Xenopus tropicalis: one gene and its partners. The protein of the gene in region 3 purifies or fractionates together with the protein of the main gene of each other region. This does not show direct contact. Links are inferred from orthologs where the notes say so. Each region holds a gene or a part of one and is shown on either strand. Other genes may lie near its edges.

The links.
Region 1: the proteins of rfc4 (region 3) and atad5 purify together in Homo sapiens (affinity purification with mass spectrometry; 5 studies listed by BioGRID and IntAct, counting the BioPlex papers as one, with this or other methods). This does not show direct contact. The link is inferred for Xenopus tropicalis from reciprocal best matches to the Homo sapiens genes RFC4 and ATAD5.
Region 2: the proteins of rfc4 (region 3) and hnrnpu fractionate together in Homo sapiens (co-fractionation; 3 studies listed by BioGRID and IntAct, with this or other methods). This does not show direct contact. The link is inferred for Xenopus tropicalis from reciprocal best matches to the Homo sapiens genes RFC4 and HNRNPU.

The regions. Positions count from the first base shown.
Region 1 is NC_030686.2:51,945,923-51,953,399, reverse strand, and holds the end of atad5 (ATPase family AAA domain-containing protein 5), read left to right. Parts: intron 1-906; coding exon 907-1,057; intron 1,058-1,291; coding exon 1,292-1,462; intron 1,463-1,938; coding exon 1,939-2,075; intron 2,076-2,234; coding exon 2,235-2,328; intron 2,329-2,661; coding exon 2,662-2,726; intron 2,727-2,817; coding exon 2,818-3,001; intron 3,002-3,166; coding exon 3,167-3,282; intron 3,283-3,690; coding exon 3,691-4,478; intron 4,479-4,685; coding exon 4,686-4,844; intron 4,845-6,646; coding exon 6,647-6,725; 3' UTR 6,726-7,202; downstream 7,203-7,477. UniProt on the Homo sapiens protein: Has an important role in DNA replication and in maintaining genome integrity during replication stress.
Region 2 is NC_030681.2:44,497,399-44,505,573, reverse strand, and holds part of hnrnpu (heterogeneous nuclear ribonucleoprotein U), read left to right. Parts: intron 1-2,164; coding exon 2,165-2,264; intron 2,265-2,335; coding exon 2,336-2,409; intron 2,410-3,480; coding exon 3,481-3,620; intron 3,621-3,711; coding exon 3,712-3,811; intron 3,812-4,517; coding exon 4,518-4,630; intron 4,631-4,791; coding exon 4,792-5,055; intron 5,056-5,642; coding exon 5,643-5,762; intron 5,763-5,853; coding exon 5,854-5,979; intron 5,980-6,984; coding exon 6,985-7,153; intron 7,154-7,350; coding exon 7,351-7,617; intron 7,618-8,108; coding exon 8,109-8,175. UniProt on the Homo sapiens protein: DNA- and RNA-binding protein involved in several cellular processes such as nuclear chromatin organization, telomere-length regulation, transcription, mRNA alternative splicing and stability, Xist-mediated transcriptional silencing and mitotic cell progression.
Region 3 is NC_030681.2:105,882,797-105,891,469, forward strand, and holds the start of rfc4 (replication factor C subunit 4), read left to right. Parts: upstream 1-4,200; 5' UTR 4,201-4,214; intron 4,215-5,581; 5' UTR 5,582-5,591; coding exon 5,592-5,719; intron 5,720-8,673. UniProt on the Homo sapiens protein: Subunit of the replication factor C (RFC) complex which acts during elongation of primed DNA templates by DNA polymerases delta and epsilon, and is necessary for ATP-dependent loading of proliferating cell nuclear antigen (PCNA) onto primed DNA.

The sequences.
Region 1 (7,477 bases), on a different chromosome or scaffold from region 3:
TGTGTGAGAGCCTTTCTATCCCTCCCGGAGTGGGTAAAACAGCAGCAGTGTGTGCCCAAGAGCTTGGCTTCAAGGTAAATAAACCGGCTGCTATGCCAGGCCTGTGCCGTATCCTTCTATTTGTCTGTGTGAGAGCCTTTCTATCCCTCCCGGAGTGGGTAAAACAGCAGCAGCATGTGCCCAAGAGCTTGGCTTAAAGGTAAATAAACCGGCTGCTATGCCAGGCCTGTGCCGTATCCTTCTATTTGTCTGTGTGAGAGCCTTTCTATCCCTCCCGGAGTGGGTAAAACAGCAGCAGTGTGTGCCCAAGAGCTTGGCTTAAAGGTAAATAAACCGGCTGCTATGCCAGGCCTGTGCCGTATCCTTCTATTTGTCTGTGTGAGAGCCTTTCTATCCCTCCCGGAGTGGGTAAAACAGCAGCAGTGTGTGCCCAAGAGCTTGGCTTAAAGGTAAATAAACTGGCTGCTATGCCAGGCCTGTGCCGTATCCTTCTATTTGTCTGTGTGAGAGCCTTTCTATCCCTCCCGGAGTGGGTAAAACAGCAGCAGTGTGTGCCCAAGAGCTTGGCTTAAAGGTAAATAAACCGGCTGCTATGCCAGGCCTGTGCCGTATCCTTCTATTTGTCTGTGTGAGAGCCTTTCTATCCCTCCCGGAGTGGGTAAAACAGCAGCAGTGTGTGCCCAAGAGCTTGGCTTAAAGGTAAATAAACTGGCTGCTATGCCAGGCCTGTGCCGTATCCTTCTATTTGTCTGTGTGAGAGCCTTTCTAACCCTCCCGGAGTGGGTAAAACAGCAGCAGTGTGTGCCCAAGAGCTTGGCTTAAAGGTAAATAAACTGGCTGCTATGCCAGGCCTGTGCCGTATCCTTCTATTTGTCTGTGTGAGAGCCTTTCTAACCCTCTCTCTAGGTATTTGAAGTAAACGCATCATGCCAGCGCAGTGGGAGGCAGATCTTGGCACAGCTAAAGGAAGCCACACAGTCTCACCAAGTGGATCAGCAAGGGGCGAACTCCCACAAACCATGTTTCTTTAGCAGTTTCAGCTCCACAAAGTCTCCCAGTAAGTGAGGTTGTGCATGGCCCTGTTATCACACTAAGTAGACTGGCGATGAATAGAAGAACAAGTGAGGCACTACCCACTGGGCGAGGCACTATGCTCACTCAGCGTTAGGTGCCACTGACCACAGCAATCAGTCATTTCATATTTCAGCTTAAAGCCTGATCTGAAAGGCAAATACATACAGAGTCAGTTGCATATTGTCCCAGATTGTTATCTACCCTTTTTCACTTTAAGGAAAACTGAACTCTCCAAAGAATGTGGTTTCATCCCCAAGGAAACCGCCGGCCTCGCCCAGAGGCACAGGACTTAGAAAAGGGCTGGCACCAAAGTCTCTGGCAAATTTTTTCAAACCGCCTGCTAATAAGAGGACCGAAGAGAAACCCAATGCTGCAGAGGCTTCTAAAGGTACTGACTAACAACGGGCCGGGGGCTAAAGGGCATGTGGCAACTGGGTGCTATTACAGATCTGTGGGCTGCACTCAAACCATGGCCTCTAGTGTCCAGTTGTCAGACATGGCGGGATGCTTTCCTAGTTTTACCAGGGCATTACTGTGAAAGGCCAAATCATTTCCTTATTGTAGTTATTTGGCTTTATCTAACATCTCCGAGCAACCTCGCCCTATGGTTGGGCTTAGTGACCTTATAGGAAGGAGAGTAGTACTGCCCACCTGTATCTCACTCTTTCTGTGCTTACAGGCTCCCTTATTAGGGGACTTAGAATAGTAGAGCCAATCAGTGTGCCCATCTGTTGTGCTACTTAAAGTAAGGAGATGGTTAGGGCCCACCTGTATCTGTTATGCAGTCCCCTTATCAATATGCACTTGGAACAGTAATAATGAGGTTACATATCTGCAGTTAACAGGCCTATGTGCATTTTGCAGGAGTTGCCAAGGGTACGCTCAGACTGAGGGAAGCCGAAACTAAGCCACATAAGAGTCAAGATGCAACTGCAGAAAAAGAATCTGGATCAGAGGAAAAACACAGAAAATTTGCTACCTCACTTATTCTATTTGAAGAGGTATATTCACTTATTCATTATAAAGCTAAGTTGCCCCACACAGCGCTAATGCAGGGGCTCCTGTAATGGTGGTACCTGGGGCCCCTGCTGCTCTGTGGGATCTGGCAAGTTCCTGACTGGTCTGGCAACACTGCCCTCTCCTCTGTGTTATCATTGCAGGTAGATGTAATATTTGATGATGATGTTGGATTTGTGAGTGCGATCAAGACTTTCATGAGCACCACAAAGCGGCCGGTGATTCTCACCACGAGCGGTAAGCCCAGCCCCACGGCTGTTCTTTTGCCCAAGGTGCCAAATGAATCCACTGAATACTTAGTACTTACAGAGAATCTGCATACTGGGCCACTCTGTATATTTGTATATAGAACATTGTGCAAAGGCAGGGTACCTTGTGAATCGGCTGCTTCTGCAAATGGGGTGTGACTAGTAGAAGGCATACATTCTGTTAAAAAATATACTATTTAGGTAGTTTAGACACGAGCCAGTAGCCATTAAACATAGCAGCCAGTAGGGGAAGAAAGTCTTCCCTGGACAGGAAGTAACTATTCTCTCATTGTGTCCCCTTCCTATTGTGTCCCCCTTCTAGATCCTACATTTGGCTTCATGTTTGATGGCATCTTTGAAGATATTCATTTTAAAGCCCCTTCAATGGTAAGTTGCCTATTAAGGTCAGATGGTGGGTTCACATATAATGGGGGGTTCAGGGGCAGTTTGGGTTTGGACAATGTTCTTATTTTTACAGACCAATGTTGCCACTTACTTGCAAGTTCTTTGCTTGGCTGAAAACCTCAGAACAGAAACAAAGGATTTTCTTACATTTCTATCTGCCAATAAGTGTGACATCAGGCAGAGCCTTCTCCATCTGCAGTTTTGGGCCAGTAGTGGGGGGGGCGCACTGATAGAAAAGCCACCGCCGCAACTCTGCCGTAAGTACCTACCCGCCTCTTCTGTAATGTACATGTATGTGTGACCCAAGGGGGGCAATCCCGCACTAGATAAACTGGGGTTCTGTTTGTTTTGTTGGGGCTGCATGTGGATTCTTTCCATTGATGTCTGTTGTGCCATTTAATGCTGTTTCTCTCCTGTACAAGGCCAGCAGGGCGGCCCAATCACTGAGCTCCCAACATGCAACATTGGCTGCACAGAGAGTTTCATGGGTCTTAATAACATCATTTCACCGACAGAGGGTCTTCTGTCCTTTATAAAGGTGAGTGACTTTGATTTGCCTTTCAATTAACCCTGTATTATCTGTACTGAGTGGTGCAACTCACAGCCCCAGCTGCACTCACTAATCACATTCCCTAAGGTTTTCTGTCATTTCTCTAACTTTCTGCTGTGTCTGCACTAACTTTCATGTGTTTTATCTGTTACCCCAATGTTTCTATATATCTGTAACCTTGTTATGGGCTAAGGGGGCCCACCCTGAAGGCCAGTTAGGGGGGGATTTGGGGTGAGGGCTTATTTGTGCCCTGGGGAGCACGGTGACACCCCACAGTCCCTGTATATCTGTACAAATACACGTATATATTACACATACCGCCTGTACTCTAACAAACTGTATGTATATCCAGCAATTCCTGTTGTGCAGTTCATATGATATATTTTCTCCCTTTAGAATACCCAGAAACAAGAAGGGAATGTGCTTCAGCAGCTGCTTACTGAGTTCCAGTTGAACAATGTGTATTTTACACTAAGCAATTTGGAATTCCTTCTTCCACTGCCAGTTCATGTTGGCCCACCAGCTGTGCCCCTGGAGAGCTCAGAGTGCCCCCCAGCAGGGCTACAGCAGAATGGCACGGCTGATGAGAGCCCAATGAAAATGTCGGTGCAGATGAAAAAGAGAAAGAAGCTCCTAATCCTGAACGACAGTGATTTGTTTGATAGTGACTCTGTGGATGAAATATTTAGCTTGGTATCTGGTGTTCAATCCCAAAAGGAGGCAGAACAGAAAGGCCCCCCTGTAGCTGATAGAGGGGAATGTGGGGCACACCCTGCCTCTGAAAGGCACAGACAGGAGGGGCAGAAGGCCTCAGTGCACCACTGCCTGGGCTCGCTTGCAGACTTTGTGGATAATATGTCCCAGATAGACTGCTTTACATGTAATCCCATGGACCGAGCAGAGCTTTGTAATGGCAACTGGACTGAAAGTCGGATAAAAGATGGTTTGTGTGATGGGCTCAGGCTAGAGACCAGGGACTGGAGCAACAGGCAGAGCTCTGGGGAAGTCAGAGCAACCATAGAAGCTCTTGCCTTTCAGAAGTGTTTGTCTAACCTGTCGGCAGCCATTGCTCCATCACCGGAAACCTGCACAACATCCAGCCACCCCCCCACTGAGGCACTCACTCTGCACGTGTCTGAAGAGAGGGGTAATGTCTGCTTCTGCCAGGGGGAAACCAGCTCCAGGTAATTCTTATTCCTCTGACTAAAAGCATTTTACTGCCTTTGAAATGAGTAAAAGTATAGCATGGGCAGGGGTGTGGGGCAGGTGTAGGGAGACGTCGGGGTGTGGGGCAGGCGTGGGGAGATGGTGAGGGTACAGCGAGGCAGGTGGGGGGAAATAAAACCAGCTTGGAGAGAAACAGCCCCTCCATTGTACTGTTTGTGTTGCAGTGTGGCAGAGAAGCGTCTGGCTGTGGTTCGGACAGTTCTGTCCAGCAGATCTTTCTTCAGTCTGGGCAACAGGCAGTGCAATGTAACGGAGTACCTACCCGCCCTGCGCTCTATGTGCCGCTCCCAACGACTGAAAGAGCAAGAGAAAACTAAGAGAAGGTGGGTGCCCTATTCTCACACAGCACTTCACAAACTGCAGGGGGTGCTACTCAGCCTGCTTACAGCAGTGATCCACAACCAGCGGCTCGGGGGGAACCCCTTGGATATTGCTCCCAGTGGCCTCAAAGCTGGGGCTTATTTTTAGATTGCTGGCTTTGAGGGAAGTACACCCAGGTGTACTGCCAGACTGAACCTCCTGTAGGCTGCCGGCACCCATAGGGGTTATCACATAGCCCATTGTAGCCCTTATTTGGCACCCCCAGGAATAGTTCTCATGTATGTGTTGCTCCCCAACTCTCTTTACATCTGAATGTGGCTCACAGGTCAAAAAGGTTGGGGGTCCCTGGGTTACAGGAAACGCAGCTTGGCGGCAGCGGCGGGACACCTACAGCAACCTTTTATTGGGGGTCCCTGGGTTACAGGAAACACAGCTTGGCGGCAGCGGCACACCTACAGCAACCTTTTATTGGGGGTCCCTGGGTTACAGGAAACACAGCTTGGCGGCAGCGGCGGGACACCTGCAGCAACCTTTTATTGGGGGTCCCTGGGTTACAGGAAACACAGCTTGGCGGCAGCGGCGGGACACCTACAGCAACCTTTTATTGGGGGTCCCTGTGTTACAGGAAACACAGCTTGGCGGCAGCGGCACACCTACAGCAACCTTTTATTGGGGGTCCCTGGGTTACAGGAAACACAGCTTGGCGGCAGCGGCGGGACACCTACAGCAACCTTTTATTGGGGGTCCCTGGGTTACAGGAAACACAGCTTGGTGGCAGCGGCGGGACACCTACAGCAACCTTTTATTGGGGGTCCCTGGGTTACAGGAAACACAGCTTGGCGGCAGCGGCGGGACACCTACAGCAACCTTTTATTGGGGGTCCCTGGGTTACAGGAAACACAGCTTGGCGGCAGCGGCGGGACACCTACAGCAACCTTTTATTGGGGGTCCCTGGGTTACAGGAAACACAGCTTGGCGGCAGCGGCGGGACACCTACAGCAACCTTTATTGGGGGTCCCTGGGTTACAGGAAACACAGCTTGGCGGCAGCGGCGGGACACCTACAGCAACCTTTTATTGGGGGTCCCTGGGTTACAGGAAACACAGCTTGGCGGCAGCGGCGGGACACCTACAGCAACCTTTTATTGGGGGTCCCTGGGTTACAGGAAACGCAGCTTGGCGGCAGTGGCGGGACACCTACAGCAACCTTTTATTGGGGGTCCCTGGGTTACAGGAAACACAGCTTGGCGGCAGCGGCGGGACACCTACAGCAACCTTTTATTGGGGGTCCCTGGGTTACAGGAAACACAGCTTGGCGGCAGCGGCGGGACACCTACAGCAACCTTTTATTGGGGGTCCCTGGGTTACAGGAAACACAGCTTGGCGGCAGCGGCGGGACACCTACAGCAACCTTTCATTGAAATCCTTTAACATCTTTGAAAATTGAAAAGCCGAGTAGCTGTCAGTGAGCCAATAGTGGGTTACTGACTAGTAACGAGTGGCTATTTCTGTTACTGTTCCTATTGCCACTGCAGTAAGTTCCGTTCTAGTGGCTTCTAGTAGTTATTGTGCTGGAACTTTCCCTGCAACCAATAGTAGCATTTATGGAACAAGTAATGCTACTATTGCAAGTCGTTACATATTTGTGTCTGACTTACACATCGTGCCCCCCATATTATACTGTAGTGCAAGGGTTTTCTCTTCTAATAATACTCAGCCTGCCCTGAATCTGCCCAATTGCCCCACCCATGGGAACAAAACAGGACTGTGTCTGGGAATTAATTCTTTTATTCTTTCCCCCCCAGGTTTCTCCATTATTTTGAAGGCATCCATCTAGAATTATCTAAAGCAACAGTGAGCAGCCTGGCAGCAGCCTTTCCTTAATGTGTTTAACTGTGCTGGGGCAGTCGGTGCTACACATTCCCCTCAAACTGCCACCCAGTGGGACTGCTGTAGCGCCTTCCGGCGCCCAATAGCGTGTGTGTGTGTGATTGCGCCATAACGTGCGGCTCCATTGCGGGAGGTCTCTCTGTGGCTTTGGAATTGTATCAGAGAGAGCGGAGCCTCCGTGTTACTAATTGTAATAACAGTGTTGGGTCAGTACCAAACAAGGCCGGGCTCCTATATATGGCAGGGCACATACTCTGTACTATTCCATGTTGGAACACTATAGTGAGCTGTGTGCCCGCCGGCTGCTAATATACTGAGGTGAGTGCACTGTGTATACATGTAAATTTCCTTTGTACAGTTTCTATAGCAGCTCCCTGCTGGCTCTCTGCCTGGGCAACCCTGTATCATACAAATACATTTTATCTAATCATGTGCAGCCTTTTTAATAATATTAAATGTTTTACAAAATAACCTCCTTTTGTAGTGTCATTCTCCAGGTGGCAGTTAATGCCCCTATGGGAGGGGGTGGGATGCACATAGAATAGTCTCCGGGCGGCAGTTAGTGCCCCTATGGGAGGGGGTGGGATGCACATAGAATAGTCTCCGGGCGGCAGTTAGTGCCCCTATGGGAGGGGGTGGGATGCACATAGAATAGTCTCCGGGCGGCAGTTAGTGCCCCTATGGGAGGGGGTGGGATGCACATAGAATAGTCTCCGGGCGGCAGTCAGTGCCCCTATGGGAGGGGG
Region 2 (8,175 bases), about 61 Mb from region 3:
TCACTGCTCGGGGAGGGGCTTCCCTGCCCCCATGTTAGGGAGTGCGGCTCTGCTAACGCACCTGCTGCTCCTGCTTGTGTGGGCGGCGCAGCCATTATTGTCTCTTAGGGATCCGCTTGAGTGCCTTTTGTGGTTTTCTCTTTTGTTGTACTCTGTAAGGCCTAGTGGGCTCTCCGGGTTAGTTTATCGCTGTTTAACGCTGATCTGTGTGGCGTTATCTCCATCATGTTAGTCTCCATTGAATTAATACAGGGTGCTTACACAACTCTGCCATTTTGTGCAAGTGAAATGTGTTTTTTTTTAAATGAGTTCTCCACCCAATTTCAAAAAAGTAATTGCATTAAACATTTTCCACAAAGGTATTTGTAAAAGTATTTACTGTTGCCATTAGTATCTGTGTGGCTGTTAATACTATGCACATCTGGTTCTGACTTCAGCAACAATGTATCAGAAACCACCTGATCAAGATTGCAAGAATAAATACCGCTTTTCAGTAGCAATTTATATTTTCACACAATAAAATTAATGTGTTTTCCAAAGGCGCTTAGGATTGCATGTTTATGGCCCCAGTAGCTTAGTCACACAGATTGGGAAAAAGTTTGTAAGTTCCAAGGATCCTGCATGTCCATTGTTTCTAAATCTGTCAGCCTGTATTGCAGTACTGCCACTAGCCCCCCCCCCCCCCCCCCCCCCCCCCAAACTTTTAATAAACCTACTCCCTTGATATTACTAGGTTGTAAATGCATCCTTGTGGGTTGATTGGAGGTGTGTGGCATATAAATCTGGTACTATATTTGCAAAGAAGCATCAAGCAGTACAGCATTAGAATAGCCTTGTAAGTAAGTCGTTGGGCTGAAAGGTACTGAGGAGAAACAGGAAGTAGTATCCCAAAATAGAACAGTGGAAAGCACAAAGGGAATGTTGGGTCGCCTTGCATGCCCCCCAAGCTCGTTTCCCTAGCTGCACAGACACTCCAATTGTAGGGCTGCTGAAAAATGAGCCTTATATCTGACTTCAACATTCATGAACTCATTCATAGAGGAATGCATTTATTTATCTGTTTGCTGGAATACAGATTCCCCCAGAGGCTGGCTTACACTCCAGTGACCTCTTGTATGTGATCTTAGAAACCTGAAAAGCAGACAGGAACTTTGTTGTAGTAGTCCTTTGCTATTTGCCTTCTGGCCACATAAAAAGCCACTACAGAATTCCACCAAGTAGAACATTTTGTTAGGCTAAACATTTGTGCATGTGCTCTTACTTTCAATTTCATATTAGTTCGACATACACATACTGTGTAGAACATTGTGTGCACTGAGACTAAAACAGTTTTTTGTCTGTCTTGACTTGTTGGGTATAGATTTTCCTCCTGCTGAGCAAAAAAAAAAACTGGAAAAGAGGGTGGAAATACAAATACAAGAGTAGTATGTAATTGAATTAACAATAGATCATCATTTTGTCTGAAACCAAAGAGATGCTTGAGTTAATGGCACACATGGCAGCTTCCAGCAATAATTGATAGACTGAACCAAGCGACTGTTGGCCTGTCATACTGAAAGTGATTGGGGTAATTTTGAGTGTTTTGGGGTGATAAGTCAAGCAGGCATTCAGCCATACTTAGGACATTAAAGTATAGATATGTATTTTACAGCTCTGCAGGTTATGCAGACTATTACAGGAGTAGGCTGTGTTAACTGGAATGCTTGGGAACTGGGGTTTTACGTATAAAGGATTATTTGGATCTCCATACCTTGTCTGCAAAAATGAATTATAAAATTAAATAAATGCAATAGGATTGTTTTGCCACCAACATGGATTCACGTAGCTTAGTTACCATCAAGTACAAGGTGCATTTTTATTATTACAGAGTAAGGAAATTTTATTTAACAATTATATTTGCTTAAAATTAACACCATAGAAGATGGCCTTCACATAATTTGGAGAATTCTGGAAAACTGTTCCTGATAAAGGATGCCATACCTGCACATTAATGATAAAAACAATCTCATTTTGTGCTTGTGGAGATAAATACTGTACTTGCTACTTGTGAAGTTAGTCTGTGAGAATTACATTGGATTTAATTTCTTGATCATGTAAGAATAGCTGCAAGTGTTTCATTGTAAGTGTATGGATGTGGTTTATAGCTTCACATTCTTATTTCTAGATGGAAAAGATCCAAAAGAGAAGAAAAGGGGTGTGAAAAGGCCACGTGAGGACCATGGTCGTGGCTATTTTGAATATATTGAAGAAAATAAATATAGCAGGTAGGTACAGTTTTGTCCAGTGCCATTCTACTTTGCATTTTTACATGGCTTTAACTATATTCTTATTTCAGGGCAAAGTCTCCTCAACCACCAGTTGATGAAGAAGATGAGAAGTTGGATGATACCATGGTACTTCTTGATACTTGTAAGTCTTTCAGATTAAGTTATTTGGGAAAACCGTGTTCATTAATGTACCCAGGATAATGTATTATCTGCTTTTCTGTTGTCAGTTTTAAAAAAACCCAAAAGAATTTTCAATTTGGTTGTGCCGGCCACCCAGTCATCCCAGGGCTCTGTTTAGACCAGGGGTGGCCAATACATTGATCGCGGTCCACCAGTCGATCCTCCGTGGATTTCTGATGGACCGCGATGAAGTTGGGATGAGGAAGTGCTGTGTGAATGCGTACGTATGCTGCATCACATACGCATTCACGCTGCATTTCCGCATTCCCCGGTGGACCAGCGTAGATGTTTGGACCAGCGTAGATGTTTGGACCAGCGTAGATGTTTGGACCAGCGTAGATGTTTGGACCAGCGTAGATGTTTGGACCAGCGTAGATGTTTGGACCAGCGTAGATGTTTGGACCAGCGTAGATGTTTGGACCAGCGTAGATGTTTGGACCAGCGTAGATGTTTGGACCAGCGTAGATGTTTGGACCAGCGTAGATGTTTGGACCAGCGTAGATGTTTGGACCAGCGTAGATGTTTGGACCAGCGTAGATGTTTGGACCAGCGTAGATGTTTGGACCAGCGTAGATGTTTGGACCAGCGTAGATGTTTGGACCAGCGTAGATGTTTGGACCAGCGTAGATGTTTGGACCAGCGTAGATGTTTGGACCAGCGTAGATGTTTGGACCAGCGTAGATGTTTGGACCAGCGTAGATGTTTGGACCAGCGTAGATGTTTGGACCAGCGTAGATGTTTGGACCAGCGTAGATGTTTGGACCAGCGTAGATGTTTGGACCAGCGTAGATGTTTGGACCAGCGTAGATGTTTGGACCAGCGTAGATGTTTGGACCAGCGTAGATGTTTGGACCAGCGTAGATGTTTGGACCAGCGTAGATGTGATCATTTGGCCAGTACATGTCTGTCTGAAGACTTTATAACCCTTTCTTTTGATAATGTATAGAGACTTTTTAACCATGCCGTATTGTATGTAGGTGCTGTGTATAGCTTCTCAGCTAAGATGTTGTCTATCCATAATCATATTTTATAGATAACTGTGATCTTCACTTCAAAATTTCTCGTGATCGCTTAAGTGCATCATCACTTACCATGGAGAGCTTTGCACTTCTCTGGGCTGGAGGGAGAGCCACTTACGGTGTATTAAAGGGGAAAGTTTGTTTCGAGATGAAGGTAAGTGCACTTACAAATGCAAAAGCTGTCTCGAACCGACAACTGTTAAATTTTACTTTTTAACCAATCAAACTTATTTTCTACCCCCTAGGTAACTGAAAAGATTCCAGTTAAACATGTATATACAAAAGAAACAGATGTTCATGAAGTTCGTGTTGGCTGGTCATTGAGCTCCTGTGGATACATGCTCGGTATGTAGATAGTAAAGGGAGAATATATCCCTATTAATAAAGTTTGCTAGGCTATAGGTATCCTTCATGCCAGCAGACCTTATCTGTCTTTCTAGCTAGAATTTTGAAGTAGGCCATCCAGCCTCTTTGGCATTGAATAATGCAATATTTCTAAGTTGGTTTTCCATTCCTCTTGAGGTTGTGTTTACAATTTTTGACTTTTTGCAGAACTTCACATAAAGATTAAATATAACCTGTTAATGATCCATTTAATATGCCTTTTAAATTAGGTCTGTCAGTCTTGAAACACATTTAACAGTCACTGCTCAGAAATGTTATGAGGGATTTGCATAAAAATAAATCCTAAAAATGCCTTCTCATTATATAGCCAGCATGTCCATGAAGTTATGTTATCCAAGACAACTGGGGTTTTCATAATTTTGAATTAGCATACTTTAAACTGCTAAATATTTAAAAAATTAAATCTGCTATAATTGTTTGGTTGCAAATATAGATTCATACAGCTTAGTTATGATCAAGAACAAGTTGCTGGTTTTGAAAGTGGAATTAGTAAAAAAAAAACAAAACAACTTTATGGGATATGGCCTTCCTTTAATTTGTATCTTTCTGAATAACTGGTTTCATGGCAAAAGTTACCATATCTGTATTATAATTTGGAAAACAAATACATTAACAGCCTAATACAATTTTATTTTTGCTTTACTAGGGGAGGAGGAAAATTCCTATGGTTATTCTCTCAAAGCAGCAAAATGTTGCAATGGTGTTGCTGAGGATTATGGAGAGAAATATGATGAGAATGATGTGATCACTTGCTGTGCTGTGAGTAATTCATGTTTAATTCCCATTAAAACATCTTGTGTGCTACAGTTGGAGTTCTTTTAAATTTGGCAAAGTATAATGAAATATCTTGCTTTTGATTGGGTTAGCATTTAAAAGTGGGGACACTAATTTTGATCTTCACTGGTTTTTTTCTGTTGCAGAATTTTGAAGAAGATGAAATAGAACTTTCTTATGCAAAAAATGGCCAAGACCTTGGAGTTGCTTTTAAGATTAACAAAGATACCATATTGGAGCAGGCTCTCTTCCCACACATTCTCTGCCACAACTGTGCCGTAGAATTCAACTTTGGGCAAATGGCAGAACCATTTTTTTCTATCCCTGAAGGCTATACATTAATTCAGAACGTTCCTTTAGAGGACAGAGTCAGAGCACCTCTGGGGCCAGAACAAAAGCAGGATTGTGAAGTAAGTATATTTGAAAGTAAACTGAAGAGAACAGTTTTTTTTTCTTCTCCCTCTTTTTGCATCTTTCAATTCATGTTGTCTGGTTTTGGGTGTAAACTATAGGTGGGAGAACTGGAAAGACATTTAGCCAGTGCTTATTGTTGCAGATACTCTAAGATCACTGCTCTGTAGTGCTCCTCAAAGCAAATTAGGCAGAAGGGTGTCCAAGCACTTCTGCCTTGTGCTAGTGCTGAGTTCATCTGGCCTTGGCATGTTTGCATGTTCTCTGTTTCTGTGTGGGATTTCTTCCACACTCATACAGGCAGGTTAATTGCTCATGATTAACACTGATCATGTTGGTGCTATTTAAATACTGGATAATAAAATCTTTACTAGGTTGAAGATAAGTGATACACACGCTTGCCAAGGACAGTTACTGTTAAACTTCATTGGAACTCTTGTTGGTTAATTTATCTTGTGTTTTTATGTGTGGTATAGTGATATGGTTATTCGTGTCATAATGCTTAATATGTGCTCTTTTTTTTAGAATTAAGAATACAAATACATTTATTACATTCAGAGCAAATATGTTTTTTTTTTTTTTAAAGGTTATAATGATGATTGGCTTGCCAGGTGCTGGAAAAACAACATGGGTAACTAATCATACTGAACAAAACCCTGGCAAATACAACATACTTGGAACGAACACTATTATGGAAAAGATGACGGTAAGAATCCTAATATATAATTTTGGTATGTTAACCTTTTTTTTTTTTTTTTTTTCTTGACATTTTTACTTTAAAACCCTTTTCTTTGTAGGTTGGCTGCAAAAAGCAAATGTCTGACACTGGAAAGTTAAATGCTTTGCTGCAGAGGGCCCCACAGTGCCTAAGCAAATTTATTGAGATTGCTGCTCGCAAAAAAAGGCATTTTATCTTGGATCAGGTAAGTTTTTTTTTTATATATATATATATATATATATTATTTATATTGCCATTTTTATACAGGGCCTTAGAGAGACATACCTTGACCGGCAGTGTTTTCTGCTTTCAGGCAATTGTTAAACTTTGTTTAGAAACCTGCTGTCTTCTATATTTTGTTAAATAAAAAATATAATTAATTTTAGTCATGTATGCTTTTAAATATAAATAAATTGTATATTTACCGTTGGCTAGTAAAAATTTCAGAAAACTTACCATAGTCTATAGAAGTAAAATACAAGTTAACCTTTTCTCAGAAGAACCTCAGTAATTGAGGTTGGTAATTAGAAATGTTATTAACTAATGTAGCATATTGTAACAATTTAAAAAAAATCTGAAGTTTTTGCATAAGTAAAGGAATTATTCAAAAGGTGAAAAATGAAACTTTAAATTTTAGTATTAGAATGTCAAGTTATTTCTGATCTATTAGAAAACAGTGGGAGTGAAAATATTTTAAAGGCAAACAATTCTTTAAAGTGATCCATAATTTCACATGTTAATATGATAATTATTAATACAATAACAAACCTTGCTTTCAGCATACAGGGCTTTTTTTTTTTCAATAGAAATAAGTCCATTTTACCTCACTTTGTATAAAACTTATAACTGAAATATAAGCTATAGTAATTAAGACACCTTGAGCTTTCTAACCTTTAAATGCAGTATTTTAAGTACAGGTGTGGAATATATTGTACAAAATACTTAGCACCAGGGAGTCTTTATACAAAATGGAGCACCCTGCCATAAGGCTACTAAGGTGCCTTAATAGTTTTCTAATAATAACCAGAACAGCAAAATCTATTTGTAATCATACAAGGCCCCTCTGCCTTTCATCAGGTTTAAGCTGTAGTGTGTGTGTACATACACTATCAAACTGATTTGTTTCTTGTGTTGAGTGGTGCAAAGTGTTCCAGCTTTGCCTTCCTAAAGTTAACATTTTTTTGTTTGACATTTCTTTTCTCTTTTGCAGACAAATGTGTCAGTAGCTGCACAGAGAAGGAAAATGTGCTTGTTTGCTGGCTTCCAACGCAAAGCAGTTGTTGTTTGCCCAACAGACGAGTTATATAAAGAGAGAACACAGAAAAAATCTGAGGTGGAAGGCAAAGATCTTCCAGAACATGCAGTTCTCAAAATGAAAGGTAAGTAGATTTCCATGTTCTTGATCGCCATTGAGCCTCTTCGCAAGGCAGTTTTTCAGAGCTTATGGCTTCTATGCTATGATCTGACACAAACTTGTTATTGGTCTCTAATTTCTACTTTACTTTGTAACAACCATTCTGATATGGTGCTAATATGATGGCCCCTGATAGAGCACATTTTTTTTTTTCCCTCTCAGGTAACTTTACTCTTCCAGAAGCAAGTGAGTGCTTTGATGAAATCAGTTATGTGGAGTTGCAAAAGGAAGATGCTGATAAACTTATTGAGCAGTATAAGGAGGAGAGTAAGACGTCCCTTCCACCAGAGAAAAAACAAAACATTGGAGCAAAGAAACCAAACAAGAACAAAAATACCAAAGGCAGAGGTGGTATGTCTCACGGTCATGGACACAGAGGCCGGGGAGGTGGAGGATACAATATGCGTGGAGGAAATTTCAGGGGTGGAGGTATGTTTGCACCATGTAGTTGTACAGAATATTGTATACATTTAGTAAAGAGGGCTGAGGCAAACATATCAAAGATGACTTAGTTTCAGAATTTGTTCATTGACCTTTGTCAAAACCACCTTAAATATTTAGGCAGGGGTTCAGTGAAGCTGTGACCACAACAAGAGGTCCTCTTGAGAGAGAGATGCCCTCCCCTTTAAGCAACAGGGATTGTTTGTCCATATACTGCAATATACATCCAGCTGGCCAACTATGTCGGTCATCCATGGTCTGGGCAGTCCTACACTTGCTTTTATCTGATTCATTAAAACACCCAAATGGTTGCCCTTTTATTGGCTCATTGGGATCACCTGACTGTAGCTGGAAAGGGTGGGGGTTACAACATGACGCTTACCACTGCTTCTGTGCAAACTAACAAAAAAGGGAAAAGTTGTGCTCACCGCTAAATTTTAAACCATTAGGCATAAATTTAATAACTAACTATCTTGTAGCTCCAGGAAACCGTGGAGGATACAACCGAAGAGGAAATATGCCCCAGCGTGGTGGTGGAGGCGGTGG
Region 3 (8,673 bases):
GGGGGCTATTGGGGGCACGTACTATGGGGGCAGTCTATGGGGGCAATTGGGGGCACTTACTATGGGGGCATTGTCTATGGGGGCTATTGGGGGCTTTGTCTATGGGGGCACTTACTATGGCACCCATTTGGCCAGCAGCGACCCTGTGTAAGACACTGCACTGTTCACACCTGCAAGACACTGCATTGTTGACCGGGCTGTCAAGATTGGCTTGGCCCAGCACTAAACAGAAGTATCTGTGTCACTGACATAGTTACATAGTTACATAGTTACATAGGGTTGAAAAAAGACCTGTGTCCATCAAGTTCAACCCATCCAAGTAAACCCAGCACACCTAACCCACACCTACCAATCTATACACTCACATACATAAACTATAAATACAACCACTAGTACTAACTGTAGATATTAGTATCACAATAGCCTTGGATATTCTGATTGATCAAGAACTCATCCAGGCCCCTCTTAAAGGCATTAACAGAATCTGCCATTACCACATCACTAGGAAGGGCATTCCATAACCTCACTGCCCTCACCGTGAAAAACCACCTACGCTGCTTCAAATGGAAACTCCTTTCCTCTAATCTAAAGGGGTGACCTCTGGTGCGTTGATTGTTTTTATGGGAAAAAAGAACATCCCCCAACTGCCTATAATCCCCTCTAATGTACTTGTACAGAGTAATCATGTCCCCTCGCAAGCGCCTCTTTTCCAGAGAAAACAACCCCAACCTCGACAGTCTAACCTCATAGTTTAAATCTTCCATCCCCTTAACCAGTTTAGTTGCACGTCTCTGCACTCTCTCCAGCTCATTAATATCCTTCTTAAGGACTGGAGCCCAAAACTGCACTGCATACTCAAGGTGAGGCCTTACCAGGGACCTATAAAGGGGCAAAATTATGTTCTCATCCCTTGAGTCAATGCCCTTTTTTATACAAGACAGCACTTTATTTGCTTTAGTAGCCACAGAATGACACTGCCTGGCATTAGACAACTTGTTATCAACAAAAACCCCTAGATCCTTCTCCATTAAGGATACCCCCAACACACTACCATTCAGTAGATAGTTTGCGTTTATATTATTTCTACCAAAGTGCATAACTTTGCACTTATCAACATTGAACCTCATTTTCCAGTTTGCTGCCCAGTTATCTAATTTTGTCAAATCGCTCTGCAAAGCGGCAGCATCCTGCATGGAACTTATAGTTTTGCACAATTTAGTGTCATCAGCAAAAATAGAAACAATACTGTCTATGCCCACCTCCAGGTCATTAATAAACAAGTTAAACAGCAAAGGCCCAAGGACTGACCCCTGCGGTACTCCGCTAACCACACTGGTCCAATTAGAAAATGTTCCATTTACAACCACTCTTTGTACTCTATCCTTCAGCCAGTTCTCTATCCAATTACAAATATTATGTTCTAGGCCAATATTCCTTAATTTGATCATTAACCTTCTGTGAGGTACTGTATCAAACGCTTTAGCAAAGTCCAAGTAGATGACATCAACTGCCATTCCAGCATCAAGGTTCCTACTCACCTCCTCATAAAAGGCAACTAAATTAGTCTGGCAAGATCTGTTACGCATAAAACCATGCTGGCACAAACTAATAGTATTGTGAACTGCAATGTATTCAAGTACCCTATCCCTTATTACCCCTTCCAAAAGTTTTCCTACTACTGATGTCAGACTAACAGGCCTATAGTTTTCAGGCTGAGAACGGGATCCCTTTTTAAATAACGGCACCACATTAGCAATCCGCCAGTCTCTTGGCACCATGCCAGACCTCAATGAATCCTGAAAAATTAAGTGAAGAGGTTTGGCAATCACAGCGCTCAGCTCATTTAATACCCTGGGATGAATCCCATCCGGCCCTGGACCTTTGTTTACCTTTACATGTTCAAGTCTCTTTTGAATTTCCTCCCGAGTGACCCATGCGTCAGTAGCTAAATTACTAGAACTGGGCATATTACAAGGGAAGCCTTCATTATCTGGCTCCTCAGATGTATAGACAGATGAAAAATAAGAGTTCAAAATTTCAGCTTTTTCCCCGTTTTCATCAACCAACGTACCCCCCCGTGATAATAAAGTTCCCACCCCTTCTTGCTTCATTTTTTTACTATTCACATAATTAAAAAATAATTTTGGATTCTTTTTACTCCTAGCTGCAATATCCCTTTCCATCTCTGTTTTAGCTTGCCTGATAGCTTTTTTGCATGCTTTATTTGCTTCCTTGTACCTGATGAAAGCCCCCGCTGTCCCAGCTAACTTGAATGCCCTAAAAGCACGTTTTTTCTTACCAACCTCGACAATAACACTTTTATTCAGCCATAAAGGTTTTGCTTTGCGATGCCTCTCCTTGCTTACTAGGGGGATATACTGTTGTGTATACCTACAAAGCAATGTTTTAAAGATGTTCCATTTTCCTTCTGTGTCTAACCCCATGAAAAGCCTTTCCCAGTTGACACATTGCAGAGATGCCCTTATACTGGCAAAGTCTGCACGTCTAAAATTGAGTGTTTTAGTTACTCCCTTATAGCGCTGTCTCTGCAGCATTATCTCAAAGGAGACCATGTTGTGATCACTGTTCCCCAAATGCTCACCCACACAAATGTTAGAGATAAGTTCATTATTATTAGAAATCACCAGGTCCAAAATAGCGTCATTCCTAGTGGGTTCTTGAACTGCCTGAAATAAAAAGTTGTCATTTAGCATATTTACAAACCTACTAGCTTTTTCTGACTTAGCCACCCCATTACTCCAGTCAATGTCCGGATAATTAAAGTCCCCCATAACAACAACTTGACCCAGTTTTGAAGCCTCCTCCATTTGCAACAATAGCTGGGCCTCATCCCCCTCATCTATACGGGGTGGTTTATAACATACACCAATGATCATTTTCTTTGTGACCTTCAGCCCTACTGAAATTTCTACCCAAAGAGATTCGACGTTTTCATTGGTAATGTCTTTATTACATGGCTTTAAGTCTGACTTTACGTAAAGACAAACCCCTCCACCCTTTTTAATCTCTCTGTCCCTCCTAAAAAGTGTATAACCATTTAAATTCACAGCCCAGTCGCATTTATCATCCCACCAGGTCTCAGTGATACCTATTAAATCATAATTTTCAATACATGCAATAGCTTGCAGCTCCCCTAATTTACCCGACAAGCTACGCGCATTAGCCAGCATGCAGCGGAGATTATTACTTCTCCCTCTGATGTTTACATTAGCTAAGGGAGAATTAGAGCTAAGGCAATTATGAGACTGCTTTCCTTGTAACGGAAGCTCCTTATCTGATAAACTATATGCCCCCCTCACTCCTCCCCCACAACCCTTTGCTAGTCCCCCTACCCCGTCTACACTAATTTTCCCATGGAATTCTAGCTCACCCACCCCCCCCTTGTCTAGTTTAAACACTCCTCCAACCTCTTAACCATTCTCTCCCCTAGCACAGCAGACCCCCTTCCATTGAGGTGCAATCCGTCAGGGCTGTATAGATTGTACCCCAAGGAAAAGTCAGCCCAGTGCTCTAGGAACCCAAACCCTTCCTTCCTACACCAAGACTTTAGCCACGCATTTAGCTCCCTAAGCTCCCGCTGTCTCCCTAAACTTGCACGTGGCACCGGCAAAATTTCCGAAAAAATGACATTGGAGGACCTTTGCCTAATCTTAGAGCCTAGATCCCTGACTCCTGGAAATAAACTGTTACCTGTGATTGAGACATTATATAAGCATAAAGGTTTTTGCAACGTAGATCTGAGCGTGAGACTGTTACTGTAACTACATGTTCAGAAAAAAATAAACGTGAAATAAACAAATAGAAATTAAAATGATGACAATTTCACTTGCCCCTAGTTTGCACAAAACCTATTTGGTCAGATTGGGAGAAGGCTCTGATTGCCACAGGTACGGTTACCAAACAGCAAAAAGTATAGTTTCTTGGTTCTCTGGCAGTGAGTTTGAACTGCAAGCAGAAACTATAATATAAGTATTATTTTCTTTCACAAAAGTAGGAGGCACGACTTAACAAAACAGAATGTGACAGGACCCGCCGCCACTTACTAGCAGCGCCTGACTGTAAAACGCCGAATTACGCCTACTTGTCACTCCCACAAGGCGGCTACGTGATTGCGTCACTGCGCTTGCGTGTAGTTGTCCCGCGTTCTGTAACACAGTAGGCTGAGAGGCTGCAGCTACATTTTCGCGGGAGGTGTAAGTAGCGTTCCGGGCCTGCTGATTGCAATAGGAAAATTGGGACTGTTGGGCTGTATTGGGAAGAGTGGGACTTCTGAATAGTATGAAAGCTGAGTAGGGGAAAGAACATGCAGGCACCCTAGCAACCACACTCTTGAAGTCTGTAGCTTACTGACAGCTAGGGGCCCGGTGGTACAAGTAAATGCAGTACAGCCGGGGCTGATGCTGGCCCAATGTATTCATTAAAAGTTTTCAGTGTTTAAACTTAATTTCTAAATGTAATTGCCATTGAGATCAGTGTTTGGCTACTTTTCTGTACTGGTGTTTCTGACTGTTGAGACAGAGTAGCAGAAGCAAGCTAATTAACAGACCTGTTGACTGAAAACAGATCTGACGGCTGTTAAATTTCGATAACAGCAAAATGTATAACTACTGGAGAAAATGTTAAATTAATATATATAAATAAGTGTTCACTCAGACACTTGCTAAGTAATGTTGCATGAAAATGCATCTTTATTGTTGTCTGCTATCCTTGCACGTTGCTCTGTCAAGAAAAACTAAAGTTTATTTGGTTTTTCTTCATTTCAAATCCCCCTGCTGAACCACAGCATTGCCCTGCTTGAACTGTTTTAGTGGCCAGAATATAGAGCTCTGTAACAGGATTCTCAGTCACCACATGGCCCATGTCACGTCTGGTTGGCCACTTGTATCACTGATGTTTGACCCAGGCTGTAAGCCTGTGATCTCCAATCAGTAACTGAACTTGGATGTTGCTCTCAGTGCCCCCAAACCAGGTAGTTATTTTTGAACTTGGGGGCAAGTTTTGGTTGAATAAAAACAAGATTTACTACCAAATAAAGCTCCCTGTAAGCTGATAGTGTGCATAGAGGCTGCCTAATAGCCAATCTTAGCCCTTATTTGCCACCTCCATGAACTTTTATGATGCTTGTGTTGCTCCCCAAGTCTTTTTACATTTGACTGTGGCTCACGAGTTTGGGGACCCCCTGCTGTGCCCTGCAAAGTTATTAGTTGTAGAACTGACATTTCTAAGAATGATATTGTATAACAACAGGAACAGTGCTGATTTTAAAGCTACTGACATATTTCCAATATTACATAAATAATGATATATGTGCAACTCTGTTCTAGTTAGGGCTGTCAACCTAAAAACATAGATAAAAAGTGCATTTTATATCTCTTATCAGCACTAGTTAAAATTAGCTGCCTTCCACAAGTAATGTTGGCAATTGACCAAGATACTTATGTTGGTGGAAATACTTTTTCAGTTGTTACTATCATTGTAAATAAGCATGTATATATAATACATTTTGATTTGCATTATAATTCATAAGTCATATACATAGTCCTTGCTACTATTTTTACAGAGCTGTCACAATGCAGGCTTTTCTAAAAGGAGGAACATCTATCAGCACCAAGCCTGTGAAAGATAAAGCATCTGCATCTGGCACAGGGAGCACCGGGGAAAGCAAAAAACAGAAGCCTGTTCCATGGGTGGAAAAATAGTAATGATTGTTTAAAGCATACAATTGATAATGCTGTTACATGCTTTAAGTTGATTACAATTTTTTTTCCAAAATACAGCTTGTTAGTATTTGAGTTGAGTTGGATTATTAGCTGGACAGCTTTTTTTAATTAGCACATATAGTGTTTTATGTGAGACTTCCTTTTAAACTAAATACCTAGGGGCCCATTTATCAATATACAATTCCAAATCACGAAATACGATGATCACAAATGTCACAAATTCTTTTCATTTCAATACGAAAATTTCGTGCTTACGATCTGAAAGTTCCGAAATTTTTGGATTGAAGCGATCGTTTGCGTATGGCGATCCTATAGTCACAAAAATGACGTATCCCAACAATCGTAAACAGTGAAAAACCCTTTCTAACTTTGACACTTCAATGCATGATGTGGGAAGCTTTCCAAAGGACTCAGTGGCACTCTGCAGCTCCAACCTGGCCAGAAGAAAGTCACGATACTGAAGCTTGAATGAATTCCGAAACCTTCGTACTCGTTGCGACAAATACGATTTTGTTGCACAAATTGTTGCAACGCACAAAAAAGTTGCGGAAATTAACAAAAACATTTTGGAAAATACTCGGTTATATAAATTAGAAAAGATATGATATTTTTGTAATTGTAACCATTTGTATATTGATAAATAGGCCCCCTAGTGTTTCTTTTGAGGTATCAGTGCTAATTTGCACAATAAAAAAGAAATGTATATTCTTTTGCATGACACAGTTTAGTGAATACACATAAAGACTGGAAATTTGTGATTTATTTTGGAAAATGTTGTTTTTTTTTTTTCTTTTTTTGGTATTTCCTGGTACAATGGGCCTGTGTACTTTTCCTTAAGCATAGTTTTCTGCCTCTGATATTCCCTTTTTCCCCATGAGAAAATAGAAAATATAAGTTCAAGGACAAGGAAGGTTATCATTTAATAGGACTTCATCAGCAACAGCTCACACATACTTTCAATCACCTGGGTAGGGGTTAGAAGAAGGACTAACATGACACTGCTGCATTTTTTGTGTTGTGCTAAACTCTTGTAGACTTGGGCCAGATCATGCACACAACAGAGATTCTGAGCCCTGCAAAGTAATTCTTCTGGGTGCTGTCCTGTGGGGATTAAAAAGCACGTGCACACTTCTGTCCACATCAAATGGTCGACCACAAAATTAAGAAAACTATATTATATTCTATATCTGAAGACTGGGGAAGGATTATTGTTAGAAAGAAAGTGGCATTTTAAGAAAGCACGAGGAGCACTATCATTGGGTAGTAAGTGCTTAAGATTTAAAGGACAAGTCCATAGAACTGTTCAAACTGAAACTTGAAACAACAAGCTAAATCTTCTCCTTGAATCGTTAAAGGACAAGGAAAACTACATTCACAAAGTGGGGGGGGGAGGTGCCAGTTTCTTAGCCTTCCTTCATTGAAATAATTAATGTACTTTTTTCCCTGGGCTGCTTCTGTGTAAAAAAAAATGTTTAAAAAAGTTTATATGATATGCTGATGGTTTATATTGTTGGCAACTTGTATAAGTTTTTATTTTGCTTTTTCATTAGCTCTGTTGAGGAGTATTTTGTTATTATAAGCCAGACTGCTGTAAAGTTATTTTAAAGAAAAGCTAAAGCTTATTTAAATGTGCTTACAAAAACTGCATAATTAATAAGAGAAAATTTAGCGATAAACTGTATTATAGTGAAACTTCAATTTTACATGCCCTGATTTTAAGTTTTCGTGCATTTTAGACTATTGTTTTGTGGTCCCACTAATATATAGCACATAATAAACTTCCATGATTTTACATTTTCCCAGAATTTGCACCATTTTTTTCTGGTCCCATGAAAAACTTAAAATGGGGTGAAAATAACTCCCTATCCACACACAAAAGTCTCTTGTTGCATAGTTTATTTTAAAATTGCCTACATATTAAGCAGTGCTATAGAGTGCGTTGGGCAGAATAAAAATAATAACACAAGCATAAACAAATCAAAAAAAGGCCTCCCTCAAAGTGCTTACAGGTGCTAATTTACTAATAAAAATTGATCTATGCAGTAACCAACAGTAAACAATAAGCAACTAGTTACAAGTTTGAAAATGAAATCAACAAGCTTATTGGTTATTCTGGGTAACTGCACTGGTGCATATAGCACCCATCTTAATAAATCAGCCCCATAGCCTTTTGCATTTGTGCCTAACAAAGTTATGGGTGTTTAGATCATTCTGTTTACCTTCTTTGCTGCTTTTGGTACCCTTCAATATTGTGACATCATAACATAACCAGTTTGGCATGCATATGTTCACATCTACACGTGGATACCACTTAAGCTTGCGCAGATCTTTTGATGTGACTGATTACAAGCACAAAGACCGCAGTCGTGTGCAGTGTCACACAAGGTTATATTTCTGGGCTTTAGTTGCTGCTTCAATAATTATAAGTTAAGTTTCTTAAATTCACTTAATATGAACTACAGGTTCTGTTAAATTTCTCATGGACAGTAATACTGACACATCTGAAATATGTTTATGAGGTTGGTTCATATTGGGTTTCTGAGTTTAGTTTATTTTTATATATAATATATATATGTGTGTGTGTTCAGTGTATAAACCCATTTATTGTACAGCACTATGGAATATTTGGTGCTTTATAGGTATATGTTAATAATAATGTTATTGGGCAGCAAACATTGTACAGTATTGAATGTAAAATTATAATGTAAATAGCCACTGGCCATTAGAGGGCACTGTGAGAACATATTTAGAAAGATGTCTGTGAAGATTTTTTTTTTTTTTTACTTTATACAACACAGATTGTCCTGTCTTCTGCTTGTGTTTTTTGGTTTATTTATAGCACTTTCATAATTGTTGTGGTTGACTCCTCATCTTTGTATTTTCTGTTGAACTGGGTCTTTATATGTCCAAAATTAGGCACCTTCAGAAGATT